2 linked regions of the Caenorhabditis elegans genome follow. The protein of the gene in region 1 interacts with the protein of each later gene in a pairwise test. Each region holds a gene or a part of one and is shown on either strand. Other genes may lie near its edges.

Region 1 (10,438 bases):
ATGGTGATTATAAAGCTTCTCTCTTCTTCCTTCCAAGAACATAAGACACGAGAAAAAGGAGACAAAAAAGAAAAAGCGGAAACGAAAAGCAAAATGTCAAGAGGAACGAGAGGGAAAAAATGGAGGGGTAGCTGTCGGGGGCTTAAAAGAGACGTGGCACATACTAAATAGAGGGAGGAAGAGAAGCGAGTGTGCATGTGATGAAGAGGAACTAAAAACATGAATAACATGATTTCCTCTTTTTTATTTCGTTTTGTAAATGACGATCCGGCTTGTGAAAAGTAACTGGGATTTGTGAAAAATGGAAAAAAAAATATATATATATGACGTCATAGATGGCCTAAAAACCTCCACAGCTTCTAATGGAAGAGTGAAAATGGCATAGGCAATGCCATGACGTCACTTGTGGCCTAGAAAGCAGAAGAACCGTTATTGGAAGAGTAATGACGTCACCGATGGCCTAGAAAACTTTGTAAACGCAAATGGAAGAGAATTTCAAATTTGTCCTGGGTGTGCTCGCAATTGGAAAAGAAATGACGCTATCGGTGGCCTAGAAATTCACGTGGCCTGAGACTGATCAGTAGTGACGTCACTCGAGGCCTAGAAATTTTTCAGCAACGGCCAGCTGCGGGATGTTGGAGTGTCGTTGCCAATGTTTAAAAATGTTTCAAAAAAGAAGAAAAAAAACATATTTTTTCAGACAGATTTTCCAAAAATAGGAACACTTTTAACTATTTTTAGCAAATACCAGGTGATTATTTTTGTTTTTTCGTTATTTTTTAAGTCATTTCAAGGTCTTTGGGTTAAAAAAAAATGGAAAAAGTGCTCACAGTCTTGTGCTCCACGTCGTCCTTTGGCGGTTCCGGCCCGCTGCTCATTTCCGCCGGTCATTCTGAAAAAAAAAACAGAATTTCAAATTTTTTGTGAACAAATTTTGGCGGGTAATTCAAATTTTCTGCGAGATGTCTATTTTAACTCTAAAAAATTGCAAAAAAAATGTGCGTGGCTTTGGAATTCAAATTCAAAATTGAAAACTAAAACATGAATAAAAATCTAAAAACTCAAATTTCAGCGAGAAAATTGGTGAAAATGAGCCGTGTCGAGCCGACAAAGCATGGAATTATGACTGAAGGAGGGGAGTAGCCAGAGAAAAAGAGCCATAAAAATATGTAGCAACGAAATTGAGCAGGAGTAATCTAATTTCAGAGCAATTATTATTATTCTTTTGTTTCGATTTTACAATCAACGCGCAAAATATCTCGTAGCGAAAACTACAGTACTTCTTTAAACGTGTACTGTAGCGGTTGTGTTGATTTACGGAAATAATTTATATATCGGTGAAAAATAACAATTTGAAAAAAAACTAAAGAAAATTGAATATCGCTGAGCCCGTAAATCGACATTACAGTAGTCATTAAAGGAATTACTGTAGTTTTCGCTACGAGATATTTTGCGCGTCAAATACGTTGTGTAATACGCATTCTCAGTTCCAGTAATATGTGTTTGTGAGTTCTAGTGGAGAATATCATGAATCATGACCTAAGATTTCAAAGCTCGGCCACGAGGAAATTGTGAAAATTGCGCACACCAACTGTGCGATTTTCCAGAGAAATCGTTCTTTTTGAAATATTCGCTAATTTTGAGAATGTGCCCTAGGATTTGTAAAACTAGGCCACAGAGGTTTTTTGGCTAAAAAATCAATAAATACACATATTCATATGAAAATAAATAAAATAAGAAGTGATATGTTTCAATTAATTCCACGTATTGATTCCAGTCGGCCATTCCATTTTCTCTGCTATATCTTCCCATCGTCGGCTCTGTGTCATTTGTACATGATTTCCGCTGTCCTCATCTCGTGGTCCCATTGTCAAATCCCAATACCGTTCTGGAGTGTCTGGAAGTGGTTGGTGCACGTAGCGGTGGCGACTGATCTGGAAAAATTTTAACATTTTCGGGGTTTTTGCAAAAAAGAAAAAAGGGGATTTTTGGTGGCGCTCAGAATTTCACTTTTTGAAATGACGGTGTTTTGTCGATTTACGCAGCTCGTGTGTACTCCACGAGGAGAATTGTCTCTAATTTCTATTCAAACTTTTTGTCGAATTTTTTTCCAGAAAATCTAAAAGTTGAAAAAACCGAAAAATATGTTTTTTTTCTAAAAAAAAACCCGAATAGAAAGAAAATTAAGATTTCGAAAAGTATGAAAAAAGGAAAATTGAAAACCCGAAAATAGAAAAATAAGATTTTTTTAATAAACTGGGTTTATTAAAAACCAAAAAAAAAACCTCGCATCACTTTTTCACTTTTTGAATATTTTTTGAACAAGCTGGAAAATATGACAATTGCAAAATTGAATTTTAAAAACCTCACGTAGTGTCAGCCTATCCCATCACGGTTTGATCTACAAGATGCGGGAATTTTTCGGCCAAAAAATGTGACGTCAGCACGTTCTTAATCATGCGAAATAAGTTGAGAAGTCTGCGTCTCAACTCCTGCATTTTTTGTAGATCAACGTAGATCAAACCGATATGAGACACTCTGACACCACGTGAAACCTCAGTTTCGTTAAAACTTTTTTATTGAAATTTTTTTCAAGAAATCTTTTTTTTTTTGGAGCTAACTGGAAAATAAAAATATAAAAATTGGAAAACCCAAATTGAAATATTCGATTTTTTAAAAACCTTGAAAAAATTTGGTTATATAGAGTTTTGACTGAATTTCCGAAAATTTCACTCCAAATTTCTTGAAAATTCCAGGGCAGTCTTATAATATGCACCTGATTAATATACTGTTCCTTCTCCTTTTCATCCATCTCGAGACCATCATAATAAGCTCTACAACACTTGCACGCGGCTCCGTGCATCAAATTCTTCCTCATTTCCTTATTCCGAATCACTTGTCCATCCTTCAATTGAGCCCTTCGACTCTCTAAATCTCCATTCTCTCGCTCTTCTCGAAACTTTTGATCTACCAGTTGTTTCATGAGTTGTTCACGTTCTGACATGTGGCGTCCGAATTGTTTTCTCTGCGCCTCTTCGTTTTGCAGAGTCTTTCGCTCGGGTGTTCTCAATTTCAGATCCTGCTCCTCCTGCTCATCGTGAAGTGTGATTGGCGACGATGGATAGTCGAATTCTGGCTGAAAATTTCAGAAATTTCAGAAATTTTTGAGGAAAAATGTGCCTGTGACCGAGTTTTTTCGCGGCCACGTAGCGAAAAGCCAATTTATGGGAGAAGTTTTACCTTTTTACTTGAGCCAGTCGTCTTTTGACGTTTCGCTTGTTTCAATGGCTGGCGGTCCTGAAAAAAATCGAATTTAAGTTTTAAATTTTTGAGTGCACAATTTTTTCTCATATTGCTCATTTTGAAATAAAAATTTAATTAATTTTTTGAATTTGTTTTTGACAAAAATTCAGTATTTTTTTGGAATTTATTTTTCTTCACAATAAAAAAAAATTTTGATCTAAAAATTCGATTCTTTCTTTTTTTTTTTAACTTTTTGAATTGGAAAAAAAAATTAAAAATTACATTTTTGTAATTTTTCTGAATTTATTTTCAAATTTGTACTCCAAAAGAAAGTTTTGAGTTTTTCAGAATTTTCCCAATGAAAAGGTTTCCAAATCTTTACAGATTTACCTTTTTAAAAAATTTTTTTAAGTGTTTTGATATTAAATTTATTTGGAATTGGGATTTAATTGATTTTTTCAATTTTTGACAAAAATTCAGTATAAAGGTCTAAATATTTCTGAATTTATATCTTTCCAAATAGAAAATAAAAAATTTTAAAAAATACATATTTGTAATTTTTCTGAAATTTTAAAAAAATAGGAATTTTAAAATAATTTTTTAAGAGTTTTTCAGAATTTTTTTAAATAAAAAAGTTTCGTGAATCTTTATAGATTTACAATATTTTTGATTTTGAATTTTTTTTTTACCTTAAAAAATTGAACAGTTGCTTGATTTTTTTTAATTCTGAATTATTTTCAAATATTTATTTTTTTCAATATTGTGTTTATTTTTCACATTAAAAAAATTGCATTGTTCTTTAGCTTTTGGGCAATTTCTGCATTTTTTTCTAAATTTTAAATTTTTTTTGAATTTTTACAAACTTTTTTATGAACAAAACGTTTCGAAAAAATTTGGGTTCAAAAATGCAATTTAAAAAAATTCCGCATTTTTTAATTTTAGAAAATTTTGATTTTATCTATTTTTAGAATCTTCGCTGCGAGACCACAATTATTCTCCAATTCCAGATTTTCAGAAATTTCCAACCTTCTCCACTGCTGCCAGAACACCTAAATCCTTTCGTTTCATCGGATTCGGCAGCACAACGTGTCCGAATATCGATCGAGCACTAGAAGTCGGAAGAGCTCTTTTTGGTGTCAAATTCTTGGGACTTGGTGTCGCTAGTGGCATAGTTTCAGCGAGAAATGATGATTTATCAGGAGGTGTTGAGGAGATAATTGTATCATCCAAAATACTATCATTTGAGTAGGCAGATGGATCATTGTACATGATAGATGAAGAATTCGAACGGTTTTCAATTTTCGAATCTGGAAATAATTTTTTTTTAATTTTTTAATTTATTTTGCTGTTGAAAATCTTTAAAAAAATCAAGAAATTTTTTCTCGATTTTCTGATTTTTTTTTAATTAAAAAAAATCGAAAAATCCCAAAATTTCAGCTCATTTCTCTATTTCTTTAATGAAATTTTTCATATATTCGATTTTCTTTAAAAATCTCTGAAAAAACGGAAATTTTTGAAATTTTAACGATCTAGAAAATATTTTTTACTGTTTCGATTCCCATATATATGGGAAATATTTGCTTCTCGATTTTAAAATTTTCTGTTTTTAAAAATTTTTTTAAAGAACCGACTCTCTGATAAATGGAATTATTTTTTCGAATTTTCGTTTAAAAAAAAAAAGAAAATTTTAAATTTCCAGCTCATTTCCGTATATTTCAATGAAATTTTTTCAAATATTCGATATTTCTCGAAAATCTCAAAAAAAGCGGAAATCTTTTCTAGAGAATCTTTTTTTAAATTAATTTAAGCAAAAAACACGTTTTTTTTATGTTCGAAAAAAACTAAAAATTATTTCCAATAATTTCCAGATTTTTTTAAATAATTTTTTTTGAATTTTTAATTTTCAAAAAAACAATTGAAAATAAATATTCACCTCGATTAGAAGTTTTCGATGGATTTTTCTCGAAAAACTTTGTCAATTTCGAAGTTTTTTGGCGATTTCTTGCCGGACTCGGCGTAGTGAATGCCAGTGTGAAATCGAGTTGCTCAGGCTTCTTTTGATGTTGCTCATTGTGCTTTTTCGATGGTTTCTGAATATTTTCAACTTCAAGACTTTCAATCGAATCCCGTTTTTTCTTGCTTCCACGTTTTGGTTCGTGTGTTGTGTGTAATCCAAATTCTCGTGATCCTTTATCAATTCGACGGGCTTTGAATAGATAATCGTCCATTCGAATTTGTTTTACGTATGGTTTCCGGGGACGGTTACGGTAGCGCTGGAAATACAGAAAATTTGGAATTTTTCAGAAACTTTTTATGAGATTTGGACCGTTTTGATAATTTGCTCTAAATATTAGAAATTTTAGCCATATTGTTTCAACAAAAAATATTAAAATTGAGCGATTTTTTAAAAAATTTTTTTTAAATAATTTTTTTACAAGTTTCAGGTTAATTTTTTTCAAATCCAATTTTATTGACGCGCAAAATTGTTTAGAACTTTGAATTTCTGCTAAAAATACGAATTTTTTGAGCTTTTATTTTCTCTGTAAATTCTGTGAGTTTTGAATTTTTGCAGAATTTGTAGCAAGAAGGTTTTTAGGAATTGGATTTTTCAAGAAAAATCGGTCTTTTTTTTGATTTTTTTTTTCAAAGAATTTGAAGCATTTTTTATAGTTTATTTTAATTTTTTTAACGTAAAGAAAAATTTTAAATCAGAAAACTTGAAAATTTGAAAAATTAAGAATTTTTTGAGTTTTTTCAACCAATTTTAAGAAAAAATGAATGAATATCAAAAGTTTGATGCAATTTTTTCCGAAAAATTTTTAAAATTCAAATTTTAATGAATTTTCAAAATCAGAGTTTAAATTTAAAGGCGCACGCATTTTGTTCAAATGGGTCTCGTCGCGATTTTTTTATAAGTCAAAACTCTAATTTTCAATGGAAAACTTTTTTTCTAGATTTTTATCTTAAATTCCGGGATTTTATAGAAAAAATCCCATTAATCACCTCGATATCATCAGGTGATAAAAAATCATCCATAATCGGCTGATGCGCCGGTTTGGAGTTGAAAATCGGGAATTTTTCTCCAATTTTCTTCTCTTTTTTCACTTTTTTCGGCGGTTTTTCCCTATCCGTTGTTGTGCTCAATTCTTGTGAAGAATGTGTTGAGGATACTATTGCCAGAATTGATTCATCATTTTCTTCATAATTTCCAAAATTTGATGTAGACGGTCCAAAAATATCGATTGATGGCTGGGGGTACTGTAGCTCGGGATCCAAAGCATTTCTGATGGCTCGGGCGATGCTGTCCGACTGAAATTTTGAGAAAATTGAAAAAAAAACCTTTTTTTTTTTCAAAAACTGCAATTTTAAGACAAAATATTCACATTTGCGCGTAAAATATGGTGTAATATTAGTGGTGTTTGCACAACTTCTAATTGCGTACTTAATACACCATATTTGACGCGCAAATTTTTGGAAAAATTGATTTATTGTTTTAGCATACTCAAAACTTCAATTTTCTAAAAGATTTTTTGAAAAAAAACGAGTTTCAGGCGAAAATTATCGCATTTTTCTGCATAAAACTCGAAAAACATTGAAATTTTCAGGTTTTCTGTATTTTCAGCAATGTTTTGATGAAATTGTTCGATTTTCAACAATATTCTGCAAAAATTGACAAAGGCAGTCATTTATATACAAAAATTTGAGCAAACTCTGCCAGTTTTTCTATGTTTTTTCCAATTTCTCAAGAATTCTCCTTGAAAAGCTGGAAAAACCTCTGAAGTTCGAGCTTTTCCGGATTTTTTCGCATAATTACCTCTCCAGTGGATCTTCGTTTCGGTGTTGGCTCAAATGGATCCACAGATTGCATAAATGAGTCAAAACTTGAATTTGCCACGTGGCTACCGTAATATCTGTCCATTTTTTGGGATTCCTGGAAGGGAAACTGATGATCTGTGCGGAAATTGTTAATAAAATAGAAATGAACTGGTAAATTGGCAACCAGAATTACAAAACGATTTAAATTTCACGATTTAAATTCAAGATTTAAGTTTATTCAATTTATTCAACAGAAAAATAAATAATAAATCATTTTAAAATAGATGTTTAACATTTAAATTAATTTTGTACAAGTTTCCTCTTGTGACCACGTAGATACTCTGCAAAAATAAACATTTTCCGCTTTAATTGAGCTGAAATTCAGGAAACATTGAAAATAAAATTCAAAAAAATGATTTCTCTCAAAACTTCTCTGGCGCCCTCTTATCTCTGCGCCGTGTCAGCGAGCGCGTTTGCAGCGGGAAATTTAAGATTAAATATATTTAAATCAAAGCTTTGATCAAAGTCGAAATGGTTTGTGGTAAATAATATATATTTATCGATTAAAATCAAGAATAAATTCTAATAAATAACTTCGGCATTTTTTTGGCTCGAGCAACGGAAACCACGCGGCAAAAAATAAGTTTAAAATTACAGTACTCATTAAAGGTGCGTACCTCTTCGCATTAAACAAAAGATTTACCGTATTTTAGCGCAAAAATACAAAGAAAAAATCAAAACTAACATTTAAAACGATGCAATTTTAAGGAGATCTCCGATACTTGAATCAATCGGCTTCCAAACAAACATCTTCAAATACTTGTTAGTTGCAAACTCATCACACACAACAATAATTGCGTAGGTACCATCGCTCCTTTGGATTCCAAATCCCTCGTTTTTCACCTCTCTGTGTGAGTCCTTCCATACATCCACAGCTGCTTCGAACTCCAGTTTTTGGTCGACGTCCAGTTTTTTGTATTTAATACCACTTAAGGCATTCTGAATAAATTCTTCCTTCTGAAAATTTTGAGGAAGACGCATATGGAATAATTCCAGCCGTTCAGTTGATCCATTGATCCAATGTTTTAGAAATATGCATAGATCTGTTAGGGGCAATGGTTCATGAATAAGTATTTGAGAAGTATTTGAAACGAGTAAGTCTTCTAGTTTAAAAGTGCTTCTTGTTTCTAAATGTTTGAAGTTGAGGCCCACAAGTGACTGGAAATCTCGAGTTTCCCAAGTAATTTGCTCTAAAGTTAGAAAATCGAATCGTCTTGCAAAATGTTTCAGTGAGCTCCTAGTCGCGAGGTGTAAAAGTTGAATATTCAAATTATTGAATTCTTCTAGATAATCGTAGTCGATATGCTTAATAAATAGCTTATGAATAGTTGCTTGATGGAATATTGTAAGAATTTGATCTATAAACTCCCGCAAACTGATTCCTGTCATTACTTTTTCACCGTGCACTCGAATCAAATTCCTTCCTTCAGATTGTGTCACAGACAATTTCAAATTGAGATCTTCCATATTATAAGTGAAGATATCAAATTGTATTGTCCCAGAAATTGTTATATAAAAATATATGAGCTTCATATTCAACGATTCAACAGCATGTTTGGCAGTTTTTGAATAAAACGATATCCTCACTCTGAAAACTTGTTTCTACTTATAAGAATATTTATGTTTCCAGTTGGGAAAAAAATGCACTCACAAATCTTGCACCTCCATAGTTTTCAGCAATAAACGTAGTGGTTTATGCGGTAATCGAAAAATTGGAAAACCTCTCATCATGGTTGTAAGAAGAATGAATAAGAAAATGAATGACTTGGTGAACCAACAGGTTATTGATTAGGAAAAAGATAATGGGTACTACATACGTTATAGATGTACACTGGTCCTGACCACTCCAACTAATACACAGGCAGGCATGGGGTCAGAGATATGAACATTAACCACATCTAAATAAAAAATTCTGGAGGTACATTTGGCAGAAGAAACTCTAACAGTCTTCCACAATTGAAAAATGTTATTTATAAAAATTATAAATATCATAACATTTGCAAAATGCAGGGCATAACCGGACAAACTCACGTGGTGTCAGGCTGTCCCATTACGGTTTGATCTACAAATTTTTGTACAGAAAACCGTAACGTCAGCGCTTCTCGTAGATCAAACCGAAATGGGACACTCTGACACCAATTGAAAACTCTGGGAAATATGATATTTTATCCTGTTAGAGCGAGAGCAACACCACTCATAATGATATTCCCAAAGTTTTAGATAATACTCAGGCAACTCAAATCTTATATGAAAATATTAAATAGCAATATTTTTGTAGTTGGGTGATATTTCAAGATAAAATCGCAATATTCCGAGACTTATTCGAAATCTTTTTAGATTGAGCAATCTTTTGAGAATATTTCGCAATATTTTGAGATCAAATTGTAATATTTTGAGACAATCGAAATCTATTCGAAATTTTTAGTAATATTATATGGACGCACTATTTCTCGTATTTACTACAAAAATATTGCTATTTAATATTTTCATATTAGATTTGAGTTGCCTGAGTATTTTATTCCATACACCTACTGTTGTAGGAGTAGAACCTGCGTTGCTCAATTTTTTTTTGAACATTTCAATTTCAAATTTTGGAAAATGATTGTCACCCACAACAGGGATGGGTGGCAATTGCAGTTCGGCAACTTGCCGGTTTGCCGAATTTGCCGGAAATTTTCAATTTCAGCAATTGTTGTACGTGTCGTTTGCCGGAAAAATCTTTTTTTTCCAAAAAAAAAAACACCCAAAAGAATCATTAAAATTTTACGATTTCACATAAAAAAATTTCAAAATCAAAATACGTGATATTCACGGACAGAAAAAAAGAGGTAAGAGATCACATAATTAGATCCTAGAGAAGATGAACGCGACACAGCCAATTTGAATACGTGCTCCGTGCTCCAGTTTCAGGATTCCACAGCGAACGAGTTCACCGGTGCTCTCTTGGCGCGAAATTTGTAGATCAGAATGTTTTTGGCATCGACATTTGATATGTGGAGGGATGATTGTTGAGGAACCTGCAAAAATTAAATTTTTTTCAATAAGTAATGGATCCTTTTTATGAAGAATATCCCAAAAATTCGTAATTTTTTAGAATTTTATCAGAAAAAAAACCTAAAAATTGTAGATTTTTTGGCATTTTTTTAAAGGAAAATTGAAAAAAAATCAAAAAAATTCGGAATTTCAGAATTTTATCAGGAAAAATAATTTAATTTGGAAAAAAAGCCTAGAAATTGTAGATATTTTTGCATTAAAACAAATAAAATCAAAAAATTCGGATTTTCAGAATTTTCTCAGAAAAAATTGATTTTAATATGCC
Region 2 (6,357 bases), on another chromosome or scaffold:
TCCTAAAAGATTTATTAGAATTTTAACAATTTTTTTAAAGTAAAAAAAAAACCCCTACTTTGGCATAAGTGGGACAGAAGATCCTCCTGGAATGATGGCAAGAAGGTTATCCCATCCACCGATGACTCCACCACAATGACGCTCGATAAGATCTTTCAATGGAACGGACATCTCTTCTTCGACCGTGCATGGATTGTTGACTTGACCGGAGATGCAGAAAAGCTGAAATTTCGGTTTTTTTTTTAAATCAAAAATTGAAATTTTAAAAGAAAGAAGTGAAGAATCGAATTTAAAAATTGACGTTGAATGCTCCACTTTTGAATCATTATTCAACATTTATTAACCTTGGTTCCGCGATTTCTCTCACGTCCAAACGAAGCGAACCAGTCACCACCACGACGACAAATTGTTGGAGCCACAGCTACAGTTTCAACATTGGTCACAGTTGTTGGACAACCGAAAAGTCCAATGTCAGCTGGGAATGGAGGCTTCAGACGTGGTTTTCCTTGCTTTCCTTCGAGCGATTCAATAAGAGCAGTCTCTTCACCGCAAATGTAGGCTCCAGCTCCACGATGAACGAAGACGTCAAAGTTGTATCCAGTTCCGAGGCAGTCTTTTCCGAGATATCCGGCCTTGTAGGCCTCGTTGATGGCCTCTTGAAGAATACAAGCTTCATTGTAGAACTCTCCACGGATGTAAATATAGGCGGCACGAGCTCCCATTGCAACTCCTCCGATCAAGCATCCTTCGATGAGCTTATGTGGGTCGTGACGCATAATTTCACGATCTTTACAAGTTCCTGGCTCTCCTTCATCAGCGTTAACAACGAGATATTTCGGACGTCCATCGAATGGTTTGTTCATGAATCCCCACTTCATTCCGGATGGGAAACCGGCTCCTCCTCTTCCACGGAGACCAGAAGTTTTGAGTTCTCCGAGAATCCAATCAGATCCTTTTAGAATGATTTCCTTCGTCTTGTGCCAGTCTCCCTGAAAAATTATAAAATTCGTTTAAATTGTCGAATAGATTATTTGAAAATAGGCAAATAAATACTCACACGAGCCATGGCTCCTTTCAATCGATAATCATGGCGACCATACAAATTGGTGAAGATACGATCACTGTCCTTCAAATTTCCGAACGATGTCTTCTCTTGTTTCACTTGAGCGTTCGCATTCTGGGCTGATGTCACGACTCCGCGCACAGCCACCTTCGGCACTGAAAGAATAGTCTTAAAACAATTGAAATTGAAATTTAAGCTCCTACCGTTCTGTCCAATTAGCCTAGCCCCAAGAGAGACTGCTGCCGAAGCCATCCCTGAAAAAAATAGTTGAGATAAATGAAAGATCGATGGAAAATCTGCAAGCACAATAAACATTTCAAACAATAGCTTTCCAGTCAATAATGCTACGAAAATTTGAAAAATATCTATTAAGCTGTTTAAAAGTATTATTTTATTTGCATATATCAAGCTTTTCAATTAAAAAATCAGTTGATTCGTTGAAAAATCAGGCAAAAAATAGAAAATAAAATAAAACCGACGTTCCAGCGGTCGGAATTTCGGAGTGTCGTTTACTAAACTTAAAGGCGCACGCACTTTCGCTTTTGGCGTCTCGCAACGAAAGTGGCACACAACAAACGAGTGGGACAGTATGGCTTTTCAGGCAACCTGTGAATTTTAATGCTGGCCTACGGTTTTTTCACGTTTTTTCCCGAGAATTTCGGAATTTTTTTGATAAATTGGACTGAAGAAAAATCTGCAATTAATTCTGTGCTCGTTCCTGGAAAATCTATCTTCAAAATTCGATGAAATAATAATTTTTTGGTGAAACCGAATTTTTGTTGGTGAAACTTATTTTACAGCCGTTTAACTCTTGATTTTTTCATTACTCACACTCTTCATTCAATCTGCACTTATATCTCCTATTTTCTAGTAATTTTTTTACAATTTCCAGGTAAAATGGTCAACGTGCCAAAAGCCAGAAGAACCTTCTGTGACGGCAAGTGCCGCAAGCACACCAACCACAAGGTTACCCAATACAAGAAGGGAAAGGAATCCAAGTTCGCTCAAGGTACGTTTTAAATTAATAATAATAATACCATAAAATTCAACGTTATTTTTTAGGACGTCGTCGTTACGACAGAAAACAATCTGGATTCGGAGGACAAACCAAGCCAATCTTCAGAAAGAAGGCCAAGACCACCAAGAAAATCGTCTTGAGAATGGAGTGCACCGAGTGCAAGCACAAGAAGCAACTCCCAATCAAGAGGTTCGTTTTTATTTTGTTTTATTAAAAATTAATTCAAATGAAGTGTGTTTTGTCGTATTTTTTAAAAGCTTGTTTAGGAATTTTCAATTTAAAAATTATACCTGAAATTCACCTGATTTCACCTGAAAAGCGTTCATTCTTGACTTTTATTCAAAAACATTAAAAAATGCATTATGTGATGATCTTACATTTATATAATTTCTTAATTTCAGATGCAAACACTTCGAGCTCGGAGGACAGAAGAAGTCCCGCGGACAAGTCATCCAGTTCTAAGCTGTTAACTTTGTTGTTGTATTCCAAAAATAAACGTTTTTGGTTTTTCCTGTGATTATAAAGAACCATGTTGTTACTTTCAGAATATTATATTTAAGAACTGGGTATAATCAGAACGTCTTTTCAAATTTTTTTTTGTAGATGCCCATCAATGGCATAAAAATCAAAAACTCCTCAGGCGAAGGTATAGATTTATTTCCTCTGCGTTTACAGTATTAATTCCTTCTAGAGGTTTATGTGTTGAAAGAGAAAGGCTCCGTGGTCAACTTCGGTCGGGAAAAGAAAGTCTGTCACATCACATTTGATCCTCATGCCGCTCGAGTTTCAAGAATTCATGCGAGCATAGAATGGGGCGATGAGGTATTATTATTGAGTGAAACAGCGTAGAATATAATTAATTTTGTAGGGTCTATTTTTCACCGATAAAAGTAAAGAAGGAACCGAAATCAACGGAACACGATTGAAACAATCTAGTCAGGAGCTTCACGAAGGAGTGTATCAGCTTGCGATTGGTGGAATCTCTATGACTCTGGAAGTTGACGGCGATGAGCTAGAAGAGACGGTCATAGATTCTCCACAACCCGATGAATCCAGTACTGTTCCGGAAACAGTTTATGAAGAATCTCGATATTCAAATTCTAGCATCAAAGAAATGCCAGCTGTTGAGGTGACCGACGACGAGTAATCCGGCTAAAATAATTTAAACCATTAATTTTAATTTTATTTTCAGTTTTGACGATGTTTCATCTATCTCCACATTCAATATTACCAAGTTTAATCCAAGTAGCATACGTAAGTTCTGTACTATTCTACTAGTAATATAATCTAAATGCTCTTTTCCAGGCAAACGAAAACCAGAAGGCGATGTGTTTAGCATAGATCGGCCACGTGGAAAAAGAGGACCGATTTCCTATCGTCCGCGTATGAATTTCGATGATGAAATGGAGAATCGTGGAAGTAGAGGCCCAAGAGCACGTAAAGCAGATAAAAGTGGCGTCTTCGACGAGGAAGCTCCAGCGAAAAAAGCCAAGATAGCTCCTCAAGCTTCTCAAAGTCTCATAAAGAAGTAAGATTTTTAAATTAATAGATTTCAAATACAATGTTCTCCAGTTTTTTCAGACCGAAAGCCCCTTCCGCCGTGGAGCCAGATGACGTGGAATCCATCGTGAGCCAGGTGGCAGCTCTTCCATCAGTCAGTCGGGAACCAGAAGAGGAATCGGATGATTCGGATCTCTCCGATCGAGGACCGGCCGCGTTAAACGAGACCATCAAATATTGTAATCTGATTTTTCAACAACCAAATAGTTTCAAAAAGAACGAGACAACATTCGACTCAAATGTTCCGAATTTTAAAAGATTCGTTCCAAAAGGACTCAGAGATGGGAGAACATCTGCCATTTCGATGCACAGCACGACGACATGCAACACAACAATTTCGATGGTCGACTCGAGAATTGTGCACTGAACCAGAATCTCTATTTTATTTTATTTTTTAACAAAAATCGATCATGTATTCAAAACATTCCCATATGCTCCCAATATACCGTGTGAATAAAAACTATTTTATTTAGAACACACTTCTTCAAGCGCACAATACTTTGTGTGCCATTTTTCATTCCTTTCCAGTTCCAAAAGAGCAGGCAATTACAGTCGGGGCACGAGGCAACTGCTCCGGACACGAGCTATCTATCAAAAAGTGGTGGAGCGCTCTACATGGAGAGGCGCCTTTTTGGTTTCTGGGAGCCTCTTCTTTTTTGGCTCTTCTCGTTTCAATCAAACCCTCATCGCCACAAATGAATGAAGAATGTACGCGTGTTTGAATGAGTAACGGCAAGCCCATTTCCAAAATTTTTGGGAATTTACACGCTTTTTTTTGTTGCAATACATGCTGAAATTCGAAATTTGTCGAACATTGCACAATTTTTGAACCAAAAATACGGCTTCAGGTCTCGGCACGACAATTGTTTGTTAAATGCGATTAGGTGTGCACCTTTAAAGATTACTGTAGTTTAAAACTTTTGCTTCCGCGCAATTTTTAAATCGATCATTTTATTTAAAATATAAAACTATAGTTAACTACGAAAAATCAATGAAAATTGCGCAGAAGCGAAATTTTAAAATTACAGTAATCTTTAAAGGCGCACATCTACTCGCAGTTAACAAAAGTTTGCCGTGTCGAGACCAGGTACCGTATGTTTGGCGCAAAAATCTCATAATATGATAATAATGAACTGAGCAAGCCCTTCAATTCCAATTGAATAGCACTTGAGCATTTCCACGATTCACTGAAGAGAACTTCAGTTCTTTTTCAACGAAACAATTTTCATAACAATCGTTCCGAGACCCAATGTTTCTCACCAATTTGTAATCGGATCTCATTCAACATGTCTTTTCTCACAAGTATGAATAATTAACGTCCTTCCGGCAAGTTCAGGTGTTATTTTCACACCCAACTTTTAGCGTTGGAGCGCGCTTGCATCTCGATTTCAAATGGCGCATTTTTCTGCTTACAGATAATAATTCAATAGGCGTACTGTAGAAGTGTAGGGTTACTGTGGTTAAAAAAAAAGAAGAGTACAGAACATGACTTTATTCGGTACTTGTGTATTATTTCCCCTCATTTCAATAGTATCCATTTTAATAAAGCGTGATGTCATTTTCCCTTTTTAGGCTTAGAAATGGTTATTTCCTAAGCCTAAAAATACAAAAACTCCACACGTTTTTAATAAAAAACTTGTTTTTTTCAAAATGAGGGGAAATAATACACAAGTACCATTTATTCAAATCTAAAAAGCTCTACAAATAGTCCATTGGCCCGAGCTGCACAAGTTGTTCATCGAGCATCTCTCGTTTTTTCTTTTCAACCTCCAACTGCTTCTTGAGATTTTCTTTCTTGAACTTTTCGATCTCCATCTCCATTTGGATATTATCCCACTTGAGCTTGTCGAGCTCTTCCTGAGCCTTCTTGAGGTCATCTTCTGAAAATTAACAAAAGCTTATAATCCAGTGGGAAACTTTAAAATTACTTGACATTGGAGCAGAGACGACACTGGTTGAAGCTCCGACCTGTTGAGCTACCGTATTTTGCACAGAGTTACCTGGATAAGAGTAGAATTTAATTATTGTACTAGTTTCTATTCAAATTTGTCAGTTTCTCGAAAATTTTCAAACTAATAAAGAAGACAAATAATTGAAATTTTTCACACAAATAAATCAAAAATTGGGTGAAAATTTTCAATCATTTTTTTCCGGAACTTCTGAAAATTCACCAAAGCCTAAAAGCCAGTGGGAAATGTTAAAGTTACCGGAGATCGAAGCAGACGGGGCTTGAGCCGGATTTGCAGCAGCAGCAGTGACTTGCGAAGTGGCGTCCTCATCGACCTAGAAAAATTTTTCAAACGTTGAAGTCGGAATCGATAATTTTTTGAAAGAAAACCAATCAAATACCAATCACGGTGTTTTTTCCACCTCTAGTTAGGGTAACGTGACCTGAAAAATTTTTTCAACCGCTTGGAAGGGGTAGTAAGAACATTTCTTCCTGAGGGAACGGGAATGGAAAAGAGTTCCCGTTTTAAAAACAGGGGCATTATCTATCACCTCATCGATAAACAACGGAATTCTGATTAGGGCAACATCGTATAAATGCTAAGAATGGCTAACTTACTGATCTCATCCTCGCTTCTTCTCTCTTTCTTGCTTGGGTAGCGCGTCCTTTCTTTAATCCAGCTATCGAAGCTTTTCTGCCTTTCAATACTGGAGCCATCTGAAAAGTTGGTAAATGCATATGCTCAGGAGGCAATGAGGCGACTTACCC

Evidence for each region.
Region 2: the proteins of com-1 (region 1) and nbs-1 interact in a two-hybrid assay, tested with the Caenorhabditis elegans proteins (one study listed by BioGRID).

What each region holds. Positions count from the first base shown.
Region 1 is NC_003281.10:10,893,101-10,903,538, reverse strand, and holds com-1 (DNA endonuclease activator Ctp1 C-terminal domain-containing protein), read right to left. Parts: upstream 7,177-10,438; 5' UTR 7,112-7,176; coding exon 7,058-7,111; intron 6,553-7,057; coding exon 6,247-6,552; intron 5,517-6,246; coding exon 5,177-5,516; intron 4,551-5,176; coding exon 4,270-4,550; intron 3,298-4,269; coding exon 3,241-3,297; intron 3,137-3,240; coding exon 2,777-3,136; intron 1,935-2,776; coding exon 1,755-1,934; 3' UTR 1,703-1,754; downstream 1-1,702. Other genes in the region: Protein unc-119, read right to left, coding at 831-891; fbxb-87 (F-box domain-containing protein), read right to left, coding at 7,807-8,707, 8,771-8,850; athp-1 (PHD-type domain-containing protein), read right to left, coding at 9,964-10,136.
Region 2 is NC_003280.10:11,092,803-11,099,159, reverse strand, and holds nbs-1 (FHA domain-containing protein), read left to right. Parts: upstream 1-2,684; coding exon 2,685-2,727; intron 2,728-2,772; coding exon 2,773-2,903; intron 2,904-2,949; coding exon 2,950-3,224; intron 3,225-3,273; coding exon 3,274-3,335; intron 3,336-3,386; coding exon 3,387-3,609; intron 3,610-3,653; coding exon 3,654-4,008; 3' UTR 4,009-4,112; downstream 4,113-6,357. Other genes in the region: nuo-1 (NADH dehydrogenase [ubiquinone] flavoprotein 1, mitochondrial), read right to left, coding at 1-2, 59-222, 345-989, 1,058-1,218, 1,267-1,315; rpl-36A (Large ribosomal subunit protein eL42), read left to right, coding at 1,961-2,072, 2,126-2,270, 2,483-2,543; rpl-42 (NAM-associated domain-containing protein), read right to left, coding at 5,340-5,521, 5,570-5,641, 5,849-5,924, 6,208-6,306.